3 linked regions of the Rattus norvegicus genome follow. The protein of the gene in region 3 purifies or fractionates together with the protein of the main gene of each other region. This does not show direct contact. Links are inferred from orthologs where the notes say so. Each region holds a gene or a part of one and is shown on either strand. Other genes may lie near its edges.

What was found.
Region 1: the proteins of Xiap (region 3) and Xaf1 purify together in Homo sapiens (affinity purification with western blotting; 5 studies listed by BioGRID). This does not show direct contact. The link is inferred for Rattus norvegicus from reciprocal best matches to the Homo sapiens genes XIAP and XAF1.
Region 2: the proteins of Xiap (region 3) and Siva1 purify together in Homo sapiens (affinity purification with western blotting; 3 studies listed by BioGRID). This does not show direct contact. The link is inferred for Rattus norvegicus from reciprocal best matches to the Homo sapiens genes XIAP and SIVA1.

Annotation. Positions count from the first base shown.
Region 1 is NC_086028.1:57,412,953-57,421,480, forward strand, and holds the start of Xaf1 (XIAP-associated factor 1), read left to right. Parts: upstream 1-2,982; 5' UTR 2,983-3,010; coding exon 3,011-3,042; intron 3,043-4,651; coding exon 4,652-4,787; intron 4,788-6,877; coding exon 6,878-7,073; intron 7,074-8,528. UniProt on the Homo sapiens protein: Seems to function as a negative regulator of members of the IAP (inhibitor of apoptosis protein) family. Inhibits anti-caspase activity of BIRC4. Induces cleavage and inactivation of BIRC4 independent of caspase activation.
Region 2 is NC_086024.1:137,523,163-137,531,672, forward strand, and holds Siva1 (apoptosis regulatory protein Siva), read left to right. Parts: upstream 1-3,253; 5' UTR 3,254-3,381; coding exon 3,382-3,499; intron 3,500-5,279; coding exon 5,280-5,474; intron 5,475-6,264; coding exon 6,265-6,421; intron 6,422-7,449; coding exon 7,450-7,513; 3' UTR 7,514-7,628; downstream 7,629-8,510. UniProt on the Homo sapiens protein: Induces CD27-mediated apoptosis. Inhibits BCL2L1 isoform Bcl-x(L) anti-apoptotic activity. Inhibits activation of NF-kappa-B and promotes T-cell receptor-mediated apoptosis.
Region 3 is NC_086039.1:125,785,246-125,792,993, reverse strand, and holds part of Xiap (E3 ubiquitin-protein ligase XIAP), read right to left. Parts: intron 6,947-7,748; coding exon of another isoform or gene 6,915-6,946; coding exon 6,041-6,914; intron 4,745-6,040; coding exon 4,645-4,744; intron 2,609-4,644; coding exon 2,530-2,608; intron 1,350-2,529; coding exon 1,307-1,349; intron 1-1,306.

The sequences.
Region 1 (8,528 bases), on a different chromosome or scaffold from region 3:
TTGCCCACTTTTATGTAGCTCACCTGTTTGATGACCACGCCTGCTTTCTCTGGGACTACGACAGGTTTGCGCAATTTGTTCTGAATAGGACCACATAGAACCAGACACCTTTCCTTGGTGTAACATATACCTGTAAAGCATGCCTGTAACTTAAGTGAGGAAGGTTTCCTTTGGTTCCCAGTTTGAAGGGGAGGGTAGTTATCTTGTCGTTCTGACTGGATTTGGAGTCACTAAGAAGACGGGCCTCGGGATTTGTTTCCAGAGAGGTTTGACTGAGGCAGAAAGAGCAACCAGGAATGGGGGCAGCAGCATCCCACGCGGTAAGGTGGTAAGGTGAATTGATAAGAAAGTGAGTGAGCACCAGCACTTGTCTTCCTCCTGACTCAGACTCAGTGTGACCAAGGCCTCATGCTCCCACCACCACGCCTTCCCGACCATGATGAACTGCATCCTCCAACTGTCAGCCACGTCATCCTTTTCAAAGTTGAGACTATTTTGCCACAAGGAGGCAAAGGGACACTAATCTGTCATGGTGGGGAGGCGTGGCCGTGGGCAGGCAACAGCTGTTTGTTAGCTGGTCCAGAGAATAGAAAGTAATCAGACCTGAAGCAGGGCTAACCTATGAACCCCCAAGACATGTCCCTCCTTAACCTGTTTCCTCCAGCAAGGCCCTACTCCCTGAAAGGTTCACAAGCTCCTAAAACAGCACGGTCATCTAGGGGACAATATCCAGACAGAGGAGACTTCACATTCAAATGGTAACATGTATCCTTGGAGGGCCATGTTATTGGGGAACAAGGTGTTTATACTTCTGGGACTCAGTCATTCAAATTGGCTCAGAACAAACTAATTCTTCTTTCAGGATTGTCAATAGGAAAGTATTGTGATTTTCTTTATTTTTTTCGTTTAGCCATGTTAAGGATTGAACCTAGGGCCTTGTATAGGCTAAGCAAGTGCTGTTCTAACAACATCTTGGCCAGCCCTAACAGTTTACTTATAGATAAAGAGAGTATGTTCTATGACCATAGAGCTGTGGTGTAAGTTCTCAAGCCAGTAACATAGCTGTCTAGTGTGATTATCAAATATAGTGCACGATATTCAAAACGTGTGTGTGTGTGTGTGTGTGTGTGTGTGTGTGTGTGTGTGTGTGTGTGTTTGTGAAGATCAAAGAACAACTCGAGGGATTTGGTTCCCTCTTTCCACCATCCTCGGGGATTGAACTCAGGCTGGCAGGTTTAAGTGCCTTTATCCGCTACACCAGCCCTGTAGGAAATGCATGCTACATTTTTTGTTTCTTAATTTTTATTCGGCATTTTAATATATGTGTGTAATGCAACTTGATCATGTTCCCACACCCCTCTGCTTACTTGCAACCTGCATTCATGCCAAGGGCACACAAGTGCAAGTGACTTAACTGTGTGCGACACCACTGGGTGACAGGACTTCTGCCGTTCTTCACATGTAACCTTATGTGGCTACTGTGTATGCAGTAGCTGTAACAGTTCTACTGTTGACAGAAACGCCATTATTTAGTGCATGGTTATATCTGTAAATGTATCAGTTGTCACTGAGATATACTCTGTGATGTGTGTGTGTGTGTGTGTGTGTGTGTGTGTGTGTGTGTGTGTGTGTTAGGTACCAACCCCAAAGCCTTATACATGATAGGCAAGTGTCAGACCAATATCTATACTCCAAAACCCCTTGGTCATTTTCGTTCATCTAATGATGCCCTGCTTCTTCCTGTCAGGAAAAAAGATGATGAACACAGGAAACCAGCATTGTTCTGTGTCCATTGACTCCCATGATGCACTGTGAGGAAACCAGCATTGCTCTGTGTCCACTGACTCCCATGATGCACTGTGAGGAAACCAGCATTGCTCTGTGTCCACTGATGCATTGAGATGATTTTGGACATGGGCTGCCTTTAACAGAATTTGTTTTCTTTGAACCTCAAAGACTCAAAGACACGAGGTCAGCTAGTCTTGTTGGGCAACTGCCTAGGGCTGTGGTGCCTCCTTGGGACAGCAGCACATTGCTGGGACACAGCAGCAATTTTGCATGCTGTTTCCAGGAGCACCTGGACCTTGCAGTCACCTAGGAGCCCCAGTGTAACCCAGTCAGCCAGGAGACAGCTTCCAGAAGGCTGAGACGACTCAAGCTCCCAGTTATCTTGTCTAGATTTGAGCGCAGCTCCTCCAGCATGGTGGCTGGGGCAAAAGAGTCACAGCTTGGGCCACGTTGCCTGGGCATTTGTGCAGGTGATTCAGGCCCTTGGTGACTCTGTTTTACCAGCCGTGGATGGGATAGCAAAACCTCTTGATGGTGCCTGTCACCCTGGGCTTACATTATTGTTTGCCATCATTTTTTGTTTGATTGGTTGGTTGGTGGTTGGTTTCCCAGCAGAGGACAAGTCCAGGAGACACAGAGTTATCCCTGGCTACTCCCCAAAGACTTGCCCCAAATCCTGTAGCCTGAGCACCCAGCACCCAGCACCTCCTGCTCAGTTCCTCACAGACTTTATTTTCAAAGTCACCACAAACTGGAACCACACGGGGTACAGGGCATGTAGGAGCTGCTTCTCCAGGAAACAAACTCAAGCTTAGCATCCAAGGAGAGACCAGACAGAAGCAGAGTGGAAGGGTCACAGGTTGAGAAGGGGGCGGGACCCAGATGGAGGCAAAGCCAGTTAGAGGGCGGAGGGAGGGAGGGCGGAGGGAGGGAGGGGCTGTTGTGCTACCCAGAGGAAACCTGACAGCTAACTCCCACCCTGGAGGTCGCAGTCACAGTAGCACAGAGGCAGCACAGGACTAGTGGCACAGCAGAAGACTAGCCCATGCTGCAGAATGGCCTTCTGGGAGTATCTAGCTACAGAGATCTGGGAACCGCCCTGGGCTGAGAATTCTAGAAGTCTCCTCCTCCCTGCTGTGAGTCTGGGCTGGGGAAACACTTTCGGTTTTGTTTTGTGTGCAAAGAAACAGAAACTCCACCGAAGTACTCTGAGGAGCAGACCATGGAGGACGACTTCCAAGTGTGCAGGAACTGGTAAGAAGGCATCTTCTCCAGGGCTGGCCAGAGAGAGGGGCAGAGCAGAGCAAACAAATTCTGAAGTGAGGAAGATGAAGTACAATACCAGAGGATGAGCCAAAGGGGACTGGACGCTCTGGTGTAAGGAGGCTCCAGATCTCTAGGTAGAGTGCTCAGTGGGGCCTCGATATCACTGTCCCCCTTTAGCACGGGTGTTTCAGGCTGGCTGGTCAGCCATGAAGTATGGAGGGACTAGTCCCTAGCAGAGTGTTTATTCCTGTCAGAGCTTAGGTCCCTAGTGTGGGGCCCCAGCAGCATGGTCTTCCCACCCATCTGTGAGAGGAACCTTGAGAGATATTCCAGGGTTATTCCTGTCCCCTGACAGACAAAGGAGCTGGAGGAAGAGCACGAGGGACTGAGCGGGAGGCAGTGACCACACCTCCAAGTAAAGAGAGCTGGTTTCTCAGCAGACCCCACCGGTTGCCATAACTGGGGTAAAACTCCCCCAGAGACCTTTGTTCCACCTTTCAGAATCTCTGGACTATGGATTATGGAGGCAGGCAGGCAGAACAGAGAAGGCAAACAGAGTAAGGGATGTCATTCTGTGCAGCCATGGGGACAGCTGGATCAGGCTAACAGCAGTGAGGCCATGAGCCAGATCCTGTGGCCCTGGGGGCACCTCCCCTGAACAACTGGTCCTTTAGGGATACAGCCTGTGTTTCCTTTCTCCTGAGCTGCCATCAGCATGGGCCAGTGGAATGGGCGGGCAGTATTCCTGGTGATGCGAGTGTCACAGGAGGACACCCTGCCCTGCAGGTGGGAAACGCCACTGGGTCTCAGCAGCTCTGGGTGGCTGCAGGGGAGCCCACGGACAGGAGACAGCTAGGTAGATGGACTTTTGCTCTTGAGAGTTGGGAAACCCTTGTCCCTGAACTGTGGGCAGGGCAGGGCTGCAGGGCCGACTCTACTTATTTATTCTCATGACGGCCTGTCTGGGAGATAACCAGAAAAGAATAAAACTTTACCTCCCCATCCCCTCTCTGTGGGGGGATGCTGGGGAGGGAGTGGTCCTGGGCACTGAGCCTAGGGCATCGCACAGGACCACCAAGCACTCCGAGTTGCTTTTTTCCCAGCTCCATTTTTCCTCTTCCTTTTGACCCGGGGTACCACTAAGTTGTCCAGGCTGCTCTTGAACTCACTCTATAGATTAGGGAGGCCGTAAACCAGCCATCTTCCTCTCTCAGTCTCAACAGCACCTGTGCCTACAGCCCTGGCTAACTCGTACATGTTTGAAGTGCACACCTTGGCACATAGTACTTATCTGGGAAACCATCCTACAAGCGAGGAAGTGGAATCTATCATCACTCTTAAAAGTTGCCTGTTGCCCTGGTAACGTCCTCCTCCTGCTCTCCTGGGCAGGGTGGTGCTTTGCAGACTGTCCTTGCGCTTAGGATAGTGAGTGTTCCTGATTCACCAGCACTGGCAAGGCAGGAGCGCATCATCAGCATCACTTCTTCCTGCGCCCCAGACCTGGAAAAAGCCTACCCTAGGTATGCAGCAAGGCCTCATGCTCTAGACTAAGATGCTGCGCCTTTCTTTCTCCCCTTTCCCCCACTTCATCCTGAAGCAAAAGAAGTGTGGCCTCTAGCCACTTCACTCTCCATGAGGCCCACTGCCTGCGTTTCCTGGTCCTTTGCCCGGAATGTGAGGAGCCCATCCCAGAGTCAAAGATGAAGGAGCATGTGGAAGCTGTGCACCAGCAGGTGAGCAGGTGGGCAGGTAGGCAGGTGGGCAGGTGGGCAGATGAGCAGGTGGGCAGGTGAGCAGGTGGGCAGGTGAGCAGGTGGGCAGGTGGGCAGGTGGGCAGGTCGGCAGGTAGGCAGGTGGGCAGGTGGGCAGGTGAGCAGGTGGGCAGGTGGGCAGGTGAGCAGGCGGGCAGGTGGGCAGATGAGAAGGTGGGCAGGTGGGCAGGTGGGCAGGTGGCACAAAGGCCAAGGGAGTGTGTCAGCAACTGGAGTCCAGCCTTCCTAGCCCCTCCATGTTTGTTTGGCCTCCATTTTAGAAGCGAAAAGGGTTTTTGTTCTTGTTATATGCCACCCTAAGGATGTCCTCAGTTCCTCCCTTTCTACTTGCTACTGCGGGACTATGGGTCCAGCAGAACAAGGAATCCATTTCAACAAAGGTTAACTGTTCTTCAGAGACTTGTAAGGAGGAAGCAGGAGGGCCCAGCTCAGTCTTCTTGCCTAGCTTTTTGAGTCAGTCGCTCATGGCTTTATCTTTCTGAGAATCAAGTTCGGGCAACCATTTAGATTCAGGCTGATCCAGCAAACAGTTCTTGAGCCCTAGGCTAGGCGCTAGAGGAAAACTCGAGCAGCCACTCTGGGTCTCTGCCCTCTAGGATCTCATGGACCCAAGTGTGGAGCACAGCAAGGCAGCTGATGTAAGGAGGGGCCAGGGGCTGGGCTTGAACCCACGTCCCTCTGTACTTGTGTTTGTGTCCTACTTAAGGTTACTGCTTTGATGTAACCTCCGGGAAAGCAACTTGGGGAGGAAAAGGTTTATTTGGCTTACACTCCTATATCACTGTTCATCCTCAAAGGATGTCAAAACAGGAACTCAAAGAGAGCAGGAACCTAGAGGCAGAAGCCGATGCAGAGGCCATGGAGGGATGCTACTTATTGGCTTGCTCCCCCCATGACTTGCTCAGCCTGCTTTTCTTCACAGAACCCAGGACAACCAGCCCAGGGATGGGATGGGCCCTCCCCCATCAATCACTATGTAAGGAATTATCTTTCTCTCTCTCTCTCTTTTTTTTTTTTTTTTTTTTTTTTTTTTTTGAGCTGGGGACCGAACCCAGGGCCTTGCGCTTGCTAGGCAAGCGCTCTACCACTGAGCTAAATCCCCAACCCCAGGAATTATCTTACAGCCAGATCTTAGAGGTGTTTTCTCAGTTGAGGTTTCCTCCTTTCAGATAACTCTGGCTTCAGTCAAGTTGACATAAAACTAGCCAGCACGGATGGAGTAGGCTGGACTATGTCAGCAGCATGTGCAAGCCCTCCCTTGTTGAAGTAGGAGTGAATTCTCCTCTATGGGCAAACAGGATAACAGGGGAGAAAAAGAAGAGGCAGTCATAAATATTCCCACCACCACCACTTCCTCCCCACCTGAGTGGCCAGGAGAATGATGAGAATCATCCCACTCCAAGGATGCAGATTATGCATACATACATACATACATTATTTGCATGCATACATACACACATACTTGCATACATACGTACACACTTGCATGCATACATACATACACACTTGCATGCATGCATATATACATACATGCTTGACAGGAGAATTCCACCATCCATGAGTTAGTAGTTAGTTTTTGTTAACTGGACACCGGCTGTGGTCACCTGGGAAGAGGGAATCTCAGGTGAACAATTCCATCAGATTGCCCTGAGGGTGTGTCTACAGGCAATTTCCTGATTAATGGCTGATGTAAGAAATCCCAGCCCACTGAGCCAGGTGGTCCTGGGTTGTAAAGAAAGCAAGCCAAACAAGCCAGTAGGCAACATTCCCATAGTCTCTGCTTCAATTCCTGCTTCTGGGTTCCTTCCTTGGGTTCCTGTCCTGGCTTCCCTCAATGATAGATGTGGTGTTGAAGTATAAAATGAAGTAAATCCTTTTCTCCCCAAGTTGCTTTTGGTCATGATGTTTATCACAGCAACAGAAGCAAAGTGGAACAGTGAGTCTAAGGAGTTCATAACCCCAAGGGCTCTCTCCGCCTCTGACCCTTGCCAGTACTTTGATTGGCTTCAGTTCCCTAGGAGGTTGGGCCTATGTTCTCCATCTTCCCACAGACCAAGGAAAGCCAACAGGACCCTGCCGAGTGCAAGTTCTGTGAGCTGGCTGTGCAACTCAGCAAGCTGGACGTCCATGAGTACCACTGTGGCAGCCGGACAGAGCATTGTCCACACTGCAACCAGCGCGTTATACTCCGGGTACTGGCACAGCACAAAGACCTGTGTCTGAGTGCAAAGGGCAAGCCTAAGGAAGGTGAGCAACAGGGAGAAGCTGGAGAGGGAGGGAGCAGCTCCCAGGGCCAGACAGTCTCCTGGGCAGGATGCAAGAAGTAAAACCCTTGACAGGATAGAAGAGTGTCCAATCTGTGTTTCCACCAAACTGGAGTAGCCTTCTTGTGTGTCTGTAGTAGCCTTTCATGACTTAATCAGGCAAAAGAAGAGGCCGGGGTGGGGGTGTAGAACACACTGAAGAGGGAGAGAAAGCCACGGGGAATCCCAAACACGCAGGGTTTTCTTTGCATTCCATAAGACACAACACTAGCCTGGTAAGACACACCTGAATCACCCTGTAGATGAAAATGTACAGAGAGATCAGGAAACAAACAAGACTGGACACTCCAGCTTCCAGCACTGAGCTAGATCCTAGGCTATTGAATGTTTTTATCATTCTGTGATTAATAATAAAAACAGATAAGCAGAAATAGCTAGAGGAAGGAAGGGTTTACTGTGGCTCATGGTTTGAGGACATAATAGCCTTGATGTGTTGGGGAAGACATGACCACAGGAGCATGAGGCACTCCTCACTGTCCCCCTGAACCCACAGCCAGGAAGCAGAGAGGACAAGCGTGGGGCTGGGCTAAGAAACCTGCACCTAGCACCCGACTTCTTCCAATGAGGCTCTACCTCATAAGGGTGCCACAACTTTCCGAAATATCATTAGTAACTAAAGTCCAGGTGTTCAAACACATGAGCTCACAAGGAGGGCAGGGTGTCATTCAAACCACAGCAATTAGCAATGGCCAGATGGGAGGCTGCTACTACAAGACTAGGTTTGAATATCAGCTTTCTAGTATCACTCATTCTCCTCCTTCTCATTCTCTCTCTCCCTCTCTCCCTCTGTCTCCCTCTCCTTCATTCCCTCCCTTACCCCTCCCCTTCCTCCTCCTTCTCCCCTCCCACCCCCCATCTCTATCTCCAGTCCCAGTATCAGGAATTTGAACCTAGAGCCTCACACATGCTCTACCACTGAACTCTGTGTAGTCTGTTGACCCAATTCCATGACCTCTTTATAGGAGAGTTTGCCAAGAGCACAGATGTCAATGTGACACATCTTTCGTTGATTTCATTCCTTGTTTTGATAGTGTGATAACATTGCAGAGAAACTCTGAAACCCCTTAGTTAGTCCCACCAGGTCAACGCTCTACCCAAGGTCAAAATTGACTGGTGGAAAGGCAGAAGTAGGAGATTCAGGGACTCTTCCTTCGTTGCGTAATGCCTGGGCTCCCACACAACCAACAGTCTGCAACACAAGTTCATTGACAGCTTCAATACAACACAACTTTAACACCACGATATCACAGCCAACACCTGGCTGAATCACAGAGCTGGGAACCAGTAGAGTAGCTCAATTAGGCAGGCTGGGCAGCTATATGCAGCCTCTTTCAATTGATTAAACAAGTTGTTGCCCGGGAAGATGTCTCTTCATCTG
Region 2 (8,510 bases), on a different chromosome or scaffold from region 3:
GACCTCCGCTTACTTGATGCCCTCCTAGAGAACAAAACCCAAGTGCGCTGTAAGAGGAGTCTTGCCCCCAGCACAGGGTCCATGAGACGAAAATCAGAAGCAGACAGAACCAAGATTGCACAAAGAGCAACTTCCCGGGGTCTCATATACAGCGGAGCCCATTTCCCAGGGTGGGAGGAAAAGGCTTACACCAAGTCAGAGAAAAGTGACTCAAGGTCCTTTGAAACATGGCCTGCCTCAAAGCAAATCTATTGTCCAATCAAGCAATGATGTGTGTGTCTCCACGATGGGCAATATGGCCATTATGACCAAGGTGGCCAACCCTGAGCTCAGCTGGACAGGGATACAGTGTTATGCTCACTCAGAAAACAAGTGCAGCAAGCATATGCAAGGCAGACTTGGTATATTACCCAGTACCCAGACGTAACCATCTGAGTACGTGCATTCCAGAGCTGCCAGGGCACCTAGGAATCACAGTACTTCCTCTTTCCTGACTCCAGAGACAGAGCAGCCCATACGGCACCCCAGCATTCTAGATAGACACACTCGGTCACTGCCCCTGGGAACTTCTCCGGACTGAATGGGACACATCTTAACTAGTACCACCTCTGCTCTGTGCTCACCATGACATCTAGGGGCCTTGAATGATGTGTCAGCATCTGGGGTACATTAGGCTATTCCCACCATTTGGGGTACCTCAGGCTCTCCCCAGCATTTGAGGGATACTAGTCTATTCCCTGCATCTGGAGTACATTAGGCCATCCCCAACATTTGGGGTACATCAGGCTGTCCCCACTGTGGAGACATATCTCACTGAGTTTTTATCTCCATGATGAAACAACTAAAAGAACTGAAAAGATTTATTTTGAATCACAGTTTCACAGATGTTAGTCCATGGCCAGGCTGGCTGCATTATTATAGATCTATGGTGAGACAGAAGCTTCATGGTGGAAGGCATTCCTTCAGGAAGGAAGGGAGGCAGGACAGAGACGGGGATAAGGTACACTTCAAGACACACTCTCAGTGCAACATTTCCTCCAACCAGGCCTCAGGTAAAAGCCATGAACTCACTGATGAATTAACCCACTGGAGTTATGCCATTGTCTTAGGGTTTTACTGCAGTGAACAGACACCATGACCAAGGCAACTCCTATAAGGACAACATTGAATTGGGGCTGACTTACAGGTTCAGATGTTCAGTCCATTATCATCAAGGCCGAAACATGGCAGCATCCAGGCAGGCATGGTACAGGAGGACCTCAGAGTTCTACATCTTCATCAGAAGGCAGACAGAAGACTGCCTTCCAGGCAGCTAGGACTAGGGTGAAAAGTCCATGCCCTCAGTGACACGACTACTCCAACAGGGCCACACCTCTCCATAGTGCCACTCCCTGGCCTGAGCATACACAAACTACCACCACCATCATATTCTATTACCCCTCAATCATGACATCTGGAGGGCTGGAGAGATGGCTCAGAGGTTAAGAGCACTGACTGTTCTCCAAGAGGTCCTAAGTTCAATTCCCAGCAATCACATGGTGGCTCACAACCATCTGAAATGACATCTGGAAACCAAGCCTTCAATACTTCATACTCATACAGAAAGGGAGTCAGACCCAGGTGGAACTCCGTGGCACTTGTACAGACTGCACTAGGAAGTTGGGATTCTGGGAAGAAAAAGTCCATTTCTTAACAAGAACAACAGCCTTCCTTTTTTTTTTTTTTTTTTTTTAAGAATTATTTATTTTATGCACAGCATTCTGCCTGCATATGTGATTGCAGGCCAGAAGAGGGCACCAGATCTCATTACAGATGGTTGTGAGCCACCATGTGGTTGCTGGGAATTGAACTCAGGACCTCTGGAAGAGCAGTCAGTGCTCTTAATCACTGAGCCATCTCTCCAGCCCAACAACAGCCTTCCTAACCGTGGGTTCCCTAGCCAGGGTTGCTGAATTTAAGCCATGCAGTAGGGGACAAACATATGTCTCCATACAGAGGTATCGTCCATTCCGTACAGTTCTATAACAGGGGAAACCACTAGGAGGAAGAAGCAGAGTAGTCAGTAGTCACCTCTACCAGGTGTTTGTCACAGGGCTTGCCCAGTATACTACTTGACACTTGTTCTGTGTAGAATTGTGCCCACCTCTTCACGTTGAAGACCTAACTCCCAACACCTCAGAATGTAATTGTATCTGGATACAGTTTTTTGTTTGGTGTTTTGAGACTGGGTCTCTCTAGCTAGCTTAGGCTGCTTCTGCTTTCTGAGTGCTGGGATTAAAGGCATGAGCCAACACACAGGGCTCGTGGATATAGTCTTAAAGAGTTCAAATAGGGTCCTTAGCGCAGACCTTAATTCAAAGTACCGGGTGTTATTATGAGATGAGAACACAGACACCAATCCAGTAAGCACACAGAAGTTTCCACCTACAGATTCAGGAAGACAGAGGCTGGTAGAAAACCCAAAACTTTGATCTGAGACTTCCAGTCTCCAAAACTCTCTGGAGAATTAACGGCTGCTTTGTGCACACTCCGGGTTTCCTGTACTCCAAGATGAGCACAAAATTCAATGCATCTGAATAACTCTGACATTCCGATTGTGTAGAATATAAGGACTGAGAAAGCCCTGGGCATCACTGTTTGCCTGTTCAACATGTTAGAAGATCCACACATAGTTTTTAAATCCAGCGGATCCACAGGTGTCGCCATAAACCCTCAGGCTCACTGCCCAAGATCAAGCCTCAGGGACACAAGAGTAATTCGCGGGGGAAGATGGGTAGCTGGATCCACTAGGAGGAGGAGCCCGGATAAAGCGCGCCACCCTACTGTTTGGTACTGGTAACTCCGTAACATCTCCTATCACCGTTGCTTAGCAACAACAGAGACGTCTGGCTTTTCGCGCGCTGAAACCCGCCCTCGATCTCGCGCGGGTTTATTCAGACCCCTTTAGCACACGAGTCCCGCCCCCAATGTAGCTTCCCGCTAACCCCGCGCCCCACCCCAGAGCCCCGCCTCTTAGTTTTTGGCCTATCCTGAGCTGCGGCATGCACTAGCCCCGCCCTAACACCCCTCTCGGCCTATCCCATGCCACGCCTTGCGTAGACCCCACCCCGCTGCGCCAGCGCCCTTGGCCTTTTCCCGCGCCCCTGCATTCCACTCACTGCCTCCCTCAGCCTATCCCTCGCGGCTAACTGCATAAGTCCCTCCCCCACCGTCTCGACGGCCTATCCCATGCAGCGACCCGCTTGAGGCGAGCCCCCAGTCTTTCTCCGGCCTATCGGGAGCCGCGCCCTCGTCCGCTCGAGCCTCAGCAGCGGTCCGAGTGAGTTGTGACGTGTTCGGCGCGCTGTGCGCTGCTGTGGGCTGTGTCTGGTACCCGCTATCATGCCCAAGCGGAGCTGCCCGTTCACGGATGCTGCCCCGCTTCAACTCAAAGTCCACGTGAGCCCGAGAGAGCTGAGCCACGGTGTGTTCGCCGAGCGCTACTCGCGCGAGGTCTTCGGTGAGTGTGGACTTCCGTGGGTACAGCGGGTTACGCCGCACGGGGCAGCGGGAGACGCCAAGCGCGTCGCGAGCCCAGGGTGAAGGCTGCTTCAGGCCGCTCCCGGAGAAAGCCGAGTCGAAGCCGAGTCCTGCCGAGCGGAGTAGCCTGGCGCGGGACAAGCAGAGGGACTGGGCGGGAGTGGGCGTGAAGGCGTACGCTGCCCTGGGCCCTCTTAAGTTGACTTCCCAGCGGATGGATGTTGTTGAGCATCGCTTCGCGGTGCGCAGAGTTTACAGCTGTACAGTTTTGAGTGGTGCCTCTGTGCCTTTGGAATGTGCGGAAAAAACAAACTCCCTACTCAGCCCCAGTATTTGCCTTTTCCCTTACTGTACGCTGGGAATGCAAACTCAAATGCTGAGACTCAGGGATGTAAAGTGTAAGGATGCAAAGTGTAAGGACTGAGTTGCAAAGAGTGTGTCCCCCAAAATGTAGACATGACCCGGCGTCCTGGCTTTTTTTTTTTTTTTTTAATGCCAGCACTCAGAAGGCAAAGGCCGGAGGATTTCTTGAGTTTGAGACCAGTGTGGGCTGTAGAGTGAGATGTCTTAAAACAGCAACCACACGATGCAAACACGACCCAGAAAATGCCTCAGCCGGTTAAAGTGCATTCTATGAAAGCCTGAACCTGAGTCAGGTCCCAAGAACATGTAGTAGGAGAGAATCGATTCCTGAAAGTTGTCTTCTGACCACACTCATAATAACTAAATAGCCAAGTGGATTTAATTTTTAAAAGAATGTAAGCATGCAGTTGAAAAGACGACCTAAGTATTCATTGGAACCTAACAGCCCAGCTCTACCGTTTTGTGGACTTATGTCCTGGAGCATTGTCAGGGCCGTCAGAGCCAGGCAGGTCAGGAAGGGGTGCTGGGCTATAGGGTGTTATATAGTACACACGGTTTACCAAGCCTGGGCCCACACTCTGGACTCTGGTGGACCAGGAGTCCTTGAGGAGAAAGATTGCTCTCACCGTAGAACTCTTCCCATTCCCCTTGTTTTTCAGACAGACTTTCACAGCGAGTCTTAGCCTGGCCTTGAACTTAAATAATCCTATCTTAAAGTAGGAGGCAAGTGAGCTGGAAAGCCACTCTGAATGTTTGCTTGCTTCCAGTGTCACAGAGAGGTCCCTGGGTCTGCTAGGTCTCGCCTGGCTGTAGGTGGGAGTGAGCATTTCTGGAACTTGCAACAGTGTTTCCCCTTAGGGCTCCCTGGGCCTGAAGCCTAAGGAGGAGCGGTTGTTACAGGTGTGAGCAGCCGCTTACCTGGGGTGGTAGGTTGGGAGGCCTTTGTCAGGGGTCGGTTGTCTTTCTCTCCTTTAGTAAAGCTGTTCACTGGCTTGGCAGTGGTGGTGGGTGCTGTTGTAAGCCAGTGTCTGTTTTCTGCCTCCTTGGGGCACTTGCTTTTGAGAATGAGTGCTCTCTGGCACCAAGACAAGCTTACAGGAGGAGAGCACAAACCCAGTGAAGTGAATTAGCCGTGGCTGCTGACAGTAGGTTAATGGAAGGAGTACCAGAGTTGCTGGTGGGCTTGGTAGAATCTGCCACCTGCTGTGGGAGGTGACAATGGAGCCCAAGGACCAAGGAAAGGGGACATCTTCAGCTTGGAGGCAGGGAGGCCCTGGCAAGGCCTCAGTTAGGGAACAGGCAAAGGGGACTCCTTTGGTGCCTTGTAGGGTCGTAGGATGGCTGTGCGAGGGCTTTGCAGTTGGGAGAGTTATCTTAAGGAAGGATCTTTTTCCCAGAAAGAACCAAGCAGCTCCTTTTCCAAGGGGCCCAGGCCTATAGAGATCACATCTGGGGTGAAGGTTGTTCCATCAACCACCTGCCGGAGCCACTCAAGCCTGGTCTGGTGGGAGCCCCTCAAGCTGCAAGGGGACAGATGTTGATTGGACCTGATGGCCGACTGACACGGTGCCAAGCTCAGGCCTCGGAAGCTGGTAAGTGGCTGCCAGTGGAAATTGCTTGCTATTACACCTAGGGAAGATGGCAGCAGATGTTCTGTCAGGAGCTTTGACTACCTGGGCAAGCAGGATCTGCTTAGAGCAGAGGTTCTCCGCCTGTGGGTCACAGCCTCTTTGACAAACCTGTCTCCAAAAATGTTCACGTTCCTGTTCATGACAGCAAAGTTATAGTTATGAAGTAGCAATGAAAATATGGCTTGGGGTTCGACAACATGAGGAACTGTATATATTAAAGGGTTGCAGCTTTGGGAAGGTGGAGAACCGCTGACTTAGAGCCTGGTAAGTTGAGAAAGGTTGCTGCCCCCCCACCCCCACCCCCATCCCCAGTCATCTAGAGTGGAAGTCACCGGCTTCTAACTGTTGTGTCAGACGCTCTCCTGGTGTCCCGTGTGCAGTAGGAATGTGCTAGTCCATTCTGTTGGGGGATGGTTCTCATGTGACTTGGGAGAAGCAGGACTCTGTGCAGCCCTGAAGCTTGTTGGGCCCCACAGCAGCCCAACTGACCAGTGGAACAGTAAAGCCCATCTTGAGGCCCAGACAGATACCGAGTTCCGATGGAGTACTCACCCCGCGATACTAGCAACAGGCAGGCAATCTGTCCTGGAGTCTTGTCACCAGTCCTGGGAACAAGTCATTGTGAGCCTTTACCCTAGTGCTCCGGGTGGGTGATAGGTTGTCAGAAGGACTCGGTTTCAGGGGAAGGAGGGTGCCCTCTTGTTCTTTCAGTATCCTTCCAGTGCTGACAGCCTGTGTTTTCTCCTCACAGGCCTTCCCGGGGCAGCACCCATTGCTTGTTCATCCTGCGTGAGATCTGTGGATGGAAAGGCGGTCTGCAGCCAGTGTGAGCGGGCCCTGTGTGGGCAGTGTGTGTACACCTGCTGGGGCTGTGGTGCCTTGGCCTGTGTGCTGTGTGGCCTGGCAGAGTGAGTCCTTTGATCTTTAGGGGTGCAGAGCTCATGGTTCCTCTTCTGTGAGGGGATAGGTGCTGGGTGGGTAGTCTCAGGACTCGGTGATCCTTTTGAAAGAAGTCCATGTTTCCCAGGTGTCTTTGGCCTGCTTAAAGCAGCTGCCTGGCTTAAACAGCCTTGTTGTCTGATCTTCTGAGTCCTTATAGTATTAGGGTTCCAACAGTCCACACTGTTGTTTAGCTTCAGTTTCTATCCAGTGTGCTTATGTGAGGATTGCCTCACACATGTCACTGGGTACATGGATGTTCAGGTCATGCCTGCCCTTGTTTTCTGGTTAGCAGTGATCTCTTAGGCAGTATGGAATAGATGCTGCTCACCCACTCGCTGCAGCCAGCTGAGTCAGCTACTTAGAAGTGCTTGGCGAGTGGGTGGACAGTGTAGAGCCCTGTCCCTTTGTTCCACACTGGAAGGACACAGTCTGCCAGATCAGTATGGGATCAGTACAGTGGATCCAGACAAGCTCAGCCCCAACATTTTCTAAAGCATGGGTCAGATGGGAAACCACACTTCATATGGCAAATCCTTGCCACCGGGGTACTCTTGAGGGTTTGGGGAGATCAGGAGTGCATGCAGGGTACTCTGGGGAGACGTCTTAGGAACCTGTAGGGCTGGTTCATGCTCAAGCTGGGAAGGAGAGTTTCTCAGGCTGCCTCCCAGCTTCTGGTGACTGCTTGCTGTAGGTCCTCAGGTTTGTGTCGGTGGCCATCTTATCGCTATGTCTTTTTGTCACTTCTGTGTGTCTCTTATGATATCTCACCTATCTGGTAAACCACAAAGGACTGGAGCCAAGATGTCAGACCCACAGAATGTTTCTATGCTAGACCTGCCATAGACAATGGTGTCCCCAAACTGTCCCTGAAATGACAGTCACCTGAGTCTGTTTTCAAACAAGTTCACATTCTGAGGTGTGATGGGATGAGGGCTTCAGTGAATAGGGATGAAATCAGCTGCTTAGGAATCTCCTCTCCTGTCAACTGTTGTAGCTATGCCGACGATGACGATGGTGAAAAGACGCTTTGCACCAGCTGCGCCATGTTTGAAGCCTGAAGTGGCCATGGACAGCACAAGATGTTCATACTAAAGAGAGAGAAGGTGGCTTTTTATATGTTATATTTTATACCCCAGGAACAAGTGAATAAACCTCTTTATATTTGCACAAGGACTCGCTTCTGTCTGTTAACTGTTCTTAGGGCGGCAGAGATGGCTGCAGGGCAAGCTCTCGCAGCAGCGTCGTGAGCCCCTGGTTATTACCCGAATCGGACTGATAGGCCAGGCCCAGGGAGGTCCTTCCCGTCCTCCCTCAGCTGTAAGAGGAAGCAGCTGAACTCCAAATCAAGCTGCAGAATGGTCACCCGTGTGCTAGGCCACCTCGTGCACCGAGTTACCACTGTCACCTGGCCAGCCATCAGTACCTACACTGCTGAGTTCCAGGTGATTTGATGAGGCCTGGCCCTTCAGGAAGTTTGGCCAGGTGGAGTGTTGTGTTGATTCTAGGGGTGTGACAATCCTCACCATATCTTCAGAGGTAGTTTATGCTGGGCTTTGGAGGGAGTTCCCAGGAGGTAAGGTGGCCTGGAAGATAGTGGTGGGCCAGTCACTGCAGCCACCTGGGTCTTCTGAGTGGTTTGCTGGTAGGTGTCTGGATAAACAGTGCAGAGGTCTCCTCGTCCTGCCCTCTAAGAACAGCTATGGCTGTTGCTTCCCATACACATCAGTGAGGTGCTGTCCTAGATGAGGTTGGTTCAGGTTTCCCAATAGGACCAGACAGTTGTCTCAGAGGCCCTTTGTGAGCAGGAGGCTTTGGGGGGCTGCAGGTGGGTTTACCAAAGCAAACCCTAATCGTACACCACACCCATACTTCCTTGGCTTCTGGTGCTGTTTTACCTGGCTTAGCTGTCTGCCAGGCCCTTTGGGCTCTCCCTACTCTGTCCTCTAGCCTACTACATTGTTGTTTATACTACAAGCTTCTGCTGTAGCTAGCCCACCTCTGTCACCAGTTGGGATCATTGCACAGCCCCCACCACCTTCATACTGTCCAAATAAA
Region 3 (7,748 bases):
AAAAACAATCAACAAACCCCACAAAAGACAAATAAATCGAAACTCCAAAAGAACTCCAGTGTCAGGTGTTATGGTGTACACCTTTAATTTTAACACTCTGAAGGCAGAGGCAGGAAGGTATTTGGGAATTTGAGACCAGCCTGATCTTCAAAGTGAGTTCTAGGACAGTTGAGATACAATGAAACACTTTGTTCCACACCACTACCACCAAAACACCATACATAACCCCACTAAAAATTACATCTACAATATGCTATGTGATTTAGAAGACCTTGTTTATAATGCTAGTTCTATTACTAATTTATAATAGTATATACCTTTAATTGGGAGACAGAGGCAGGCAGATCTCTGTGAGTTTGAGGCTAGCCTGGTGTATAAAGCAAATTCATTATAGCCAGAGTACACAGAGAAACCCTATCTCTAAAAACAAAACAAAACGAAACAAAACAAAATGATAACACGGCAGTAGGCAGATCACATCACCTCTTTGTTTCTTCAAGGGAACTGTAGGAACACTACTGAGGCTGCAGCTCAGAGTACTTGGCATTCACTGGGCTCGGCTGCCAGCACACTATCAGCTTTAGCTGTATATGGGGGTACACTCCCTCAATCCCAGCACTTAAGAGACTGAGGCAGAAAGAGAGAGGTCCAGGCCAGTCCGGCCTACACAGTAGATAGACTACTGAGATGGCTCAGAGGCTAAGAACACTTGCTCTCCCAGAGGACCTGAATTCAGTTCCCAGCACTCACATGGTGGCTCACAACCACCTTTAACTTCAGTTCCAGGGGATCTGATACCTCTCCTGGCTTCTGGGGCAACTAGGCACACATATATGAAGGCTAAACACCCATACATATAAAATAAATAAATGAATGAAAAATTAAAATCTAAACTTTTAATACCTTTGTTGCTTTAATACATTTTCCTCCCTCCGTTCCTTCCTTTCTTAAAACCATGCCATGCAACCCAGACTGACCACAGGTTCCGGATTCTCCTGCTTCAACATCCTCAGTGCTCGGATTATAGATTTGCACCATAGCACCTGGCTTTCTTTTTTTTTTTTTTTTTTTTTTTTTTTTCTTCTTTTTTTGGTTCTTTTTTTCGGAGCTGGGGACCGAACCCAGGGCCTTGCGCTTCCTAGGCAAGCGCTCTAGCACCTGGCTTTCTATTAATGTACTCACTACAAAAATGTCTGGTATAAAATTATAAGCACTTAATTAAATTCTTAAATTTATAGCAGCCTCATTAAACAAACTATAATAAACTGGCCACAAAACTAAACAGATTTTTAATAAACATATTTACCGATTTTTTTAGTTACTGATGGTGTTTTTTCAGCAGTTCTTACCTAAAATAGAAACATGAATGGTAAGATTTCACTTTAGCAAAAAGCAATTATCTCAATTTGAAAAGTTAATAAACATAAAACAAATTGGCTTTATTCTAATTCGAAACATGCCTATCCATAAGAGCCCAGCCAACAGAATGGAAGGAAGGCAAGACTATCTAATCATCGCCCCTTTACAAACAAGAAGCCAAGGGCCAATGAGATCAAATGACTCCCCGGAGGGAAACAAATACAAACTCAACTAGAAACTAATGGTAGAACCATCATGTCAGTTCTAGACTCCCATCACAGTCCAAGGTTCTTCTCAGTTTACTAATGCTATGATTGCCACTGTCCTATATGTCAATTCAGACATATTATTAAATTTTTTTGTCTTATCAGAGATTGAATCCAGGGGCTTGTTTATGCTAGCCAGAAAAAGTAAAACCCATGTATATCCCTGTCCTTATTTTTGTAATCTTAAGTATTATCCGCTAAAGGGTTACTAAAGAGATGGTTTAGCAGTTAAGAACACCTGTTGCTCTCCTAGAAGACCAGAGTTCAGTTCCCAGAATTCATACTGGGCAGCTTATAACTGCCTGTAATTTTAATACCAAATCATGCCCTTTTATGGCTTCCTCAGGTACAACACATGGTGTGTACACGTATGTACACACACACACACAGAGAGAGAGAGAGAGAGAGAGAGAGAGAGAGAGAGAGAGAGAGAGAGAGAGACCGACCACAGGAAAGACCAACAGAGTCCACTAACCTAGACCCTTGGGGGCTCCCAGAGATTGAATCACCCTCCAAAGAGCAAACATGGGTTAGACCTAGACCCCGCCCATATGTAGCAGATGTGAAGCTTGGTCTTCATGTGGATCCTGAACAAATGGAGCAGGGGCTGTTCCTGAACCTATTGCCTGCCTATGGATCCTGTTCCCCTAACTGAGCATCCCTGCTGGCTCGGCATAATGTACCTAGTCCTGCAGTGACTTGATATGCCAAGGTGTGGTGATACCCAGGGAGGGTCTCCCCCTTCTCAGGGAAAAAGGAGGGTATACGGAGGAAGAAGTTGTGTGAAGGAGAAACTGGGAAATAGGGGTGGATAATGGCATGTAAAGTGAATAAATAAATTAATGAAAACAAAAGAAAAACAAAGATATAGAATTTGAAAACACATTGCAAATAAGCAACTTACCACAGATTCCCCAAGTGAATGGGTTAAATGAATATTATTTATATATTCTTGTCCCTTCTCATCCAATAGATATTTACACCTGAAAGATTAAAGAAAATTAAATTCTACTAGCTGATAAATTAGAGAAGTACTAGTAAAGACAGTCTCTATCATATAAATTCCATTAACTACCTTTTGGGGGCCAGAGAGATGGCACTTTCCGAGAAGTCTGATGCCTGAGTTCAATCTCAGGAGCTCACATGTTAGGAGAGAACAAACTCCTCCAGGCTGTACTCTAACCTCCAATTGTGTACATCCCCAACCCAGGCAACAAACAAACAAACAAAACCTATCCTTTCATTGTCTTTTTTGTATGTGTTACTGGGGATTAAACTAAGGCTCATGAGTACCTTAGCGGGCACTCCATCACTGAATGATAACATCAGTTTCCATCAGAGGCCATTCGAAAGCTGGCCTCAAATTTGCTATGTAGTCAAACGTAACCTTGGACTTCTAATACTCCTGCCCAAGCAGGAATAACCATAAATCACCCCAGTCTTTTTATTTGAGCTGGGTTCTAAGAGGTCCAGGCTGGCCTTGAGTATGCTCTGTAGCCTAGACAGGCCTGGATATTCCCATCCTCCCATCTCACCAGACTCCGAAGTAGCTGAGGTTAAATGGTCAGCTTCATACACTGTTTCTGAGGAGCCACAAAGCACTGCTATCCAATTCCCTATCCAGCTATGATTCCAAGGCTATAATCATGCTAATACTATCAATTTGAGAACTTTCAATTTTCAAGTAAGAGTTACTAAATTAGGAACCAAGTATGGTGACATCCGACTGTAATCTCAGCACTTGGGAGGCTGAGATACGAAGACCAATATGAAAACCTGGCTACTCTGGGCTATTTATATAGCCAGTGCCAAAAAAGAAAATGAAAAAAAAAGTCAAAAAAGTTATTAGCTAGGCATGGTGGCAAACACCTGAATTAACCAAGTACAGAAGTTTAGCGCCATCTTTGGCTCCATAGTGAATTCTTGACAGCCTGATGTACAAAAAATATTATCCCAAAATAGAAACAAAAAAGACAAGCATGGTACCACACCTCTGTAATACTCAAAAGGCAAGTTGGAAGACTGGCACGAGGTTTAAGGGCAGCGTAATCTACATAGGAATATGCAGGCCAATTAAGACTACGTAAAAACCATATCTCAAACAAACAAACCTAAACCTGACAGCAGGTAAAAAGCAACCAGTAAATTAGTACCTAACAGTGACTTGCTACTATTTCTTTACTTGTTTGGTTTTTTTTGATATAGGTTTTCTCTGTATAGCCTTGGCTATCTTGGAACTCCACAGACCAGGCTGACCTCAAATTTAAGATATCCACCTGCCTCTGCCTCCTGAGTGCTGGGATTAAAGCCATGTGCCACCATCACCAATACTGACAGTTTTTTACAAGTTCAAAATGGTTAATCTTTTTAAATCAGTACTGAACACTCATTTAACTTGAATGTGGCTTTTAAAGGGTTCTTTTCAAATGATTGTTCTAATGTTTGGAGTGGTATTATTTTATATATTAGAAGCTCACATAACTTATAAAGCTAGCTGAGTACTGTATTTTACAGAGGGAAGATGACAAAGAAACTGAGACAAGAGGGTTTCAAGATGGAGGCCAGCCTGGAAGACATAGGGAATTTCAGGTCAACCTGAGGTAATGTGAGACCTTGTCTCAGATTAAACAAACAAACAATAATATACATTATGATCATTCTTCAGGTCTTCTCATGGCACCATGGGCTCATGCCAATCTCCAAAGAGCCTACTTCTAAGTAAAAAGTATTTATTTTTGTATACTATACTAAATAAAAATGTATATATTTTTATAATTTGATTTTTAGAAATAGAAGAATTATCTAAGTATCATATGACATATAAGCAGTGAATGTTATGGTTACCAGAAGTCTTAGGTGGGTTTTTTCCCTACAAAGTAGGTGACCCCATTTCTGTAAACTTGGTGTGAATTTCAAGCCATAGTGAAGGCAAAAATAGTTGAGGTGAAAAGTAATTCAAATGTTTCCACTGCACAATGTCCAACTTGCCTATTAGTGAATGAACAATTAAGGATCTTACCCTGGATACCACTTAGCATGCTGTTCCCAAGGGTCTTCACTTGGCTTCCAATCCGTGAGCCCTCCTCCACAGTGAAAGCACTTCACTTTATCACCTTCACCTAAGAAAGCGCACAAGGAAAACTATGTGTTTCTGTTCAAGTGTAAGTTTTCAGAAAATGCCCATTCTAACATTTGAGGAGTGTCTAATTATATCAAACCTCATGGCTTAAAAGACAACATTCAAGATGGTATCATACCTAGATATGCTCTTTGTCATTTGAAGGAAAATATGTACTAAATTCATCATCTCAATATAATGTACTTTGTAGAAGACAAAGAAAAATCACAGTTTTTATATTAGAAACTACATTTTTCCAGTATATGTCACTTGGACCATCACTATTAAATTTACTTTATCAAACTGAAAACTGTTTAAGTTTTATTGCAAATGTTAAAGTTCAGCATAAATTACAAGGTAACTATCTTTAAGAACAAGCTCTCTGTCATGAAACAGACCTTTAAGCTCACTATGTTATGGGCTGGAGAGATGACTCAGTGGTTAAGAGCAGTGACTGCTCTTCTAGAGGTCCTGAGTTCAAATCCCAGCACCTACGTGGTGGCTCACAACCATCTGTAATATGATTCCTGTTCTAGTGTCTCTAAAGACAGCTACAGTATACTCATATACATAAAATAAATAAATAAATCTAAAAAAGATTACTGTATTATATAACTGAAATAATGTATATTTTGAATTTGGCTATATTTAATCCTAAATGAATCAGGCATATAGATTAAAATTTCTAGAAGCCATAACACTGCCAGCTTTTCTTGAGACATGCACAGGAATCGTTTGAAAAGTACTCTGAATATGTGGAGTATGCTTAAAGGTAGATGGTAATTTTTGTTTGGTTGGCTTTGGTATCACAGTGTAGCCCAAAGTGCCCTCAAACTCATGCTGGCCTTTCTACTCAGCTGACAGATTGCTGGGATTACTGGTATGTGGTCTCATGCTTACTCAGCTTGATGTCAATTTACTATGACTCAGACTAAATTCTCTAATAGTAACTGTGTTTATGGGATTGTGGTGAAGTGTAGAGAAAATCCATGTAGTAGGTATTTTGAGCATATCGAGTAGATGCTCAATAAATGGCAGCTAGTATTACTATTAGATCCACTATCTTTCAGGAATTGATACCACCTTTTCTCTCTCAACTGCAACCTCCCCCACCCAAGAATTACTTGAACAGATCTGACTCATAAAAGCAGAGCCTTTTAACACAAATTCAGTAGTTCCATCAAAGATTTAACATATGAGTTCAGAGAATGATACTGATAATGAGCAAACTAAAGGCAACGATTTTCTTTTTAGGAGCCCTGTGACATTTGGAAAGTAATTTACTGGTGAAGTTTACCTAAAGCATAAAATCCAGCTCTTGCAAGCTGCTCCTTGTTAACTGAGTATAGCCATGTTCCAAAAGTAACGATCCGTGCGTCATATTCTGCCATGGCTGGATTTCTTGGAGAATTTGTTGAATTTGGGAAATTCCTATCTGAACTCACACCAGACTCACTTCGAACATTAACATTCCGGCCCAAAACGAAGAAGCAGTTGGGAAAGTGTCTCCTGTGCTCTGACCAGGCACGGTCACAGGGTTCCCAATTTTTCAGTTTTCCACCACAACAAAAGCATTGCACTTGATCATCAATCCCCGTGTAGTAGAGTCCAGCACTAGCTAACTCTCTGGGGCTTAAATGGGCATAGTCTGGCCAGTTCTGAAACGTCTTCAGTCTGGCTTCTTCACTACACATGGCCGGGTTCCTCGGGTATATGGTATCTGAAATATCTACAACCTGTCCAGTTCTCAGGAGATAATCTGCATGAGTCTCCGACGGCCTGTCAAGAGCAAAATGATTTCTGTTTCCCACACAGTTTTCAGATTTGTACTGGCCATTTTGGATGCCAGGAGATGTAGACTGTGTGGCACCGTTTTCAAAATAAAAACCATTGATAAATCTGCAATTTGGGGATATTCTCCTGTGTCTTCCAACAGCTGAGTCTCCATACTGCCATCTATCTACTGCCGCGTGACAACTGAAACACTGCACGGTGTCTCCTTCACCAGTGTAGAGAAACCCCGCTCGCGCCAATGTTGATGCTGAAACAGGACTGCTGCTTGGGAAGTTAGCAAATGTTTTTAATCTATTAAACTCTTCTACAAATTCTTCATCCTTATTGGTGTCTGCAGGTACAACAGTTCTAGATCCTTCAAAACTGTTAAAAGTCATCTTCTCTTGAAAATACGACTTGTCCACCTTTTCTAAAAAGAGAACATTGCATTAGGAACTGCAGAACACAAAACATAAGGAATATATTTCTGATACTAAGCACTAATAAATTATCCAGTGATGACATAAAAATAATGGCACAATCACATTTTAATTCTAAACACTAGAGTAGTACATTACCAAACCACTTGAGTTTTCAAGTGTGTGCTTTTGTTTGCTTTCCTTTTCCAGTGTTAGGGCTTCACATAATGCCGAACACATGTTCTAAGTCAGAACTACACCCCCAGCCTGTTTCTCTCCCACTTATTTATTGCAGCCTTAGGTTTCCGTCACAGGGCCTTCTGCATTCCAGGCAAGTGCTCCACCAACAAGCCTAAGCCTCAGTCCCATTTTCTATTTTGATGGAAAATAGTATATAAGCAAAAAGAGCAGAGTTGCTGATCTTAAGTATTCATTTTATATAAATATGGAAACTATGACAGAGAAATTATAAATATTAAACATGTGAAGTCATTAATTAGGAAAAACATGAAAGCAGCATAAAATATACAGATTATTAAAGACTGCATAATTGTTATAATGAATCATTACATATTCAAGGCATCAAAATTCAATCTTTTACTATTTAAAAACAGATGAATGTTTAGAATGGTAATGCATTAATTTAAAAAATATTTTTACTTTCTTGCTGAGCAAAACAAAGGTGCTCTAGTGGATCCTATGCTCAAGAGTATACAGGAAGAACAAATGAAACTTGATGGATTGAAAAAAGCACACACACAAACTTAGGTGGGTGAATCTGGGAGAAGCTGGGAAGGACGGTACTATGATCAA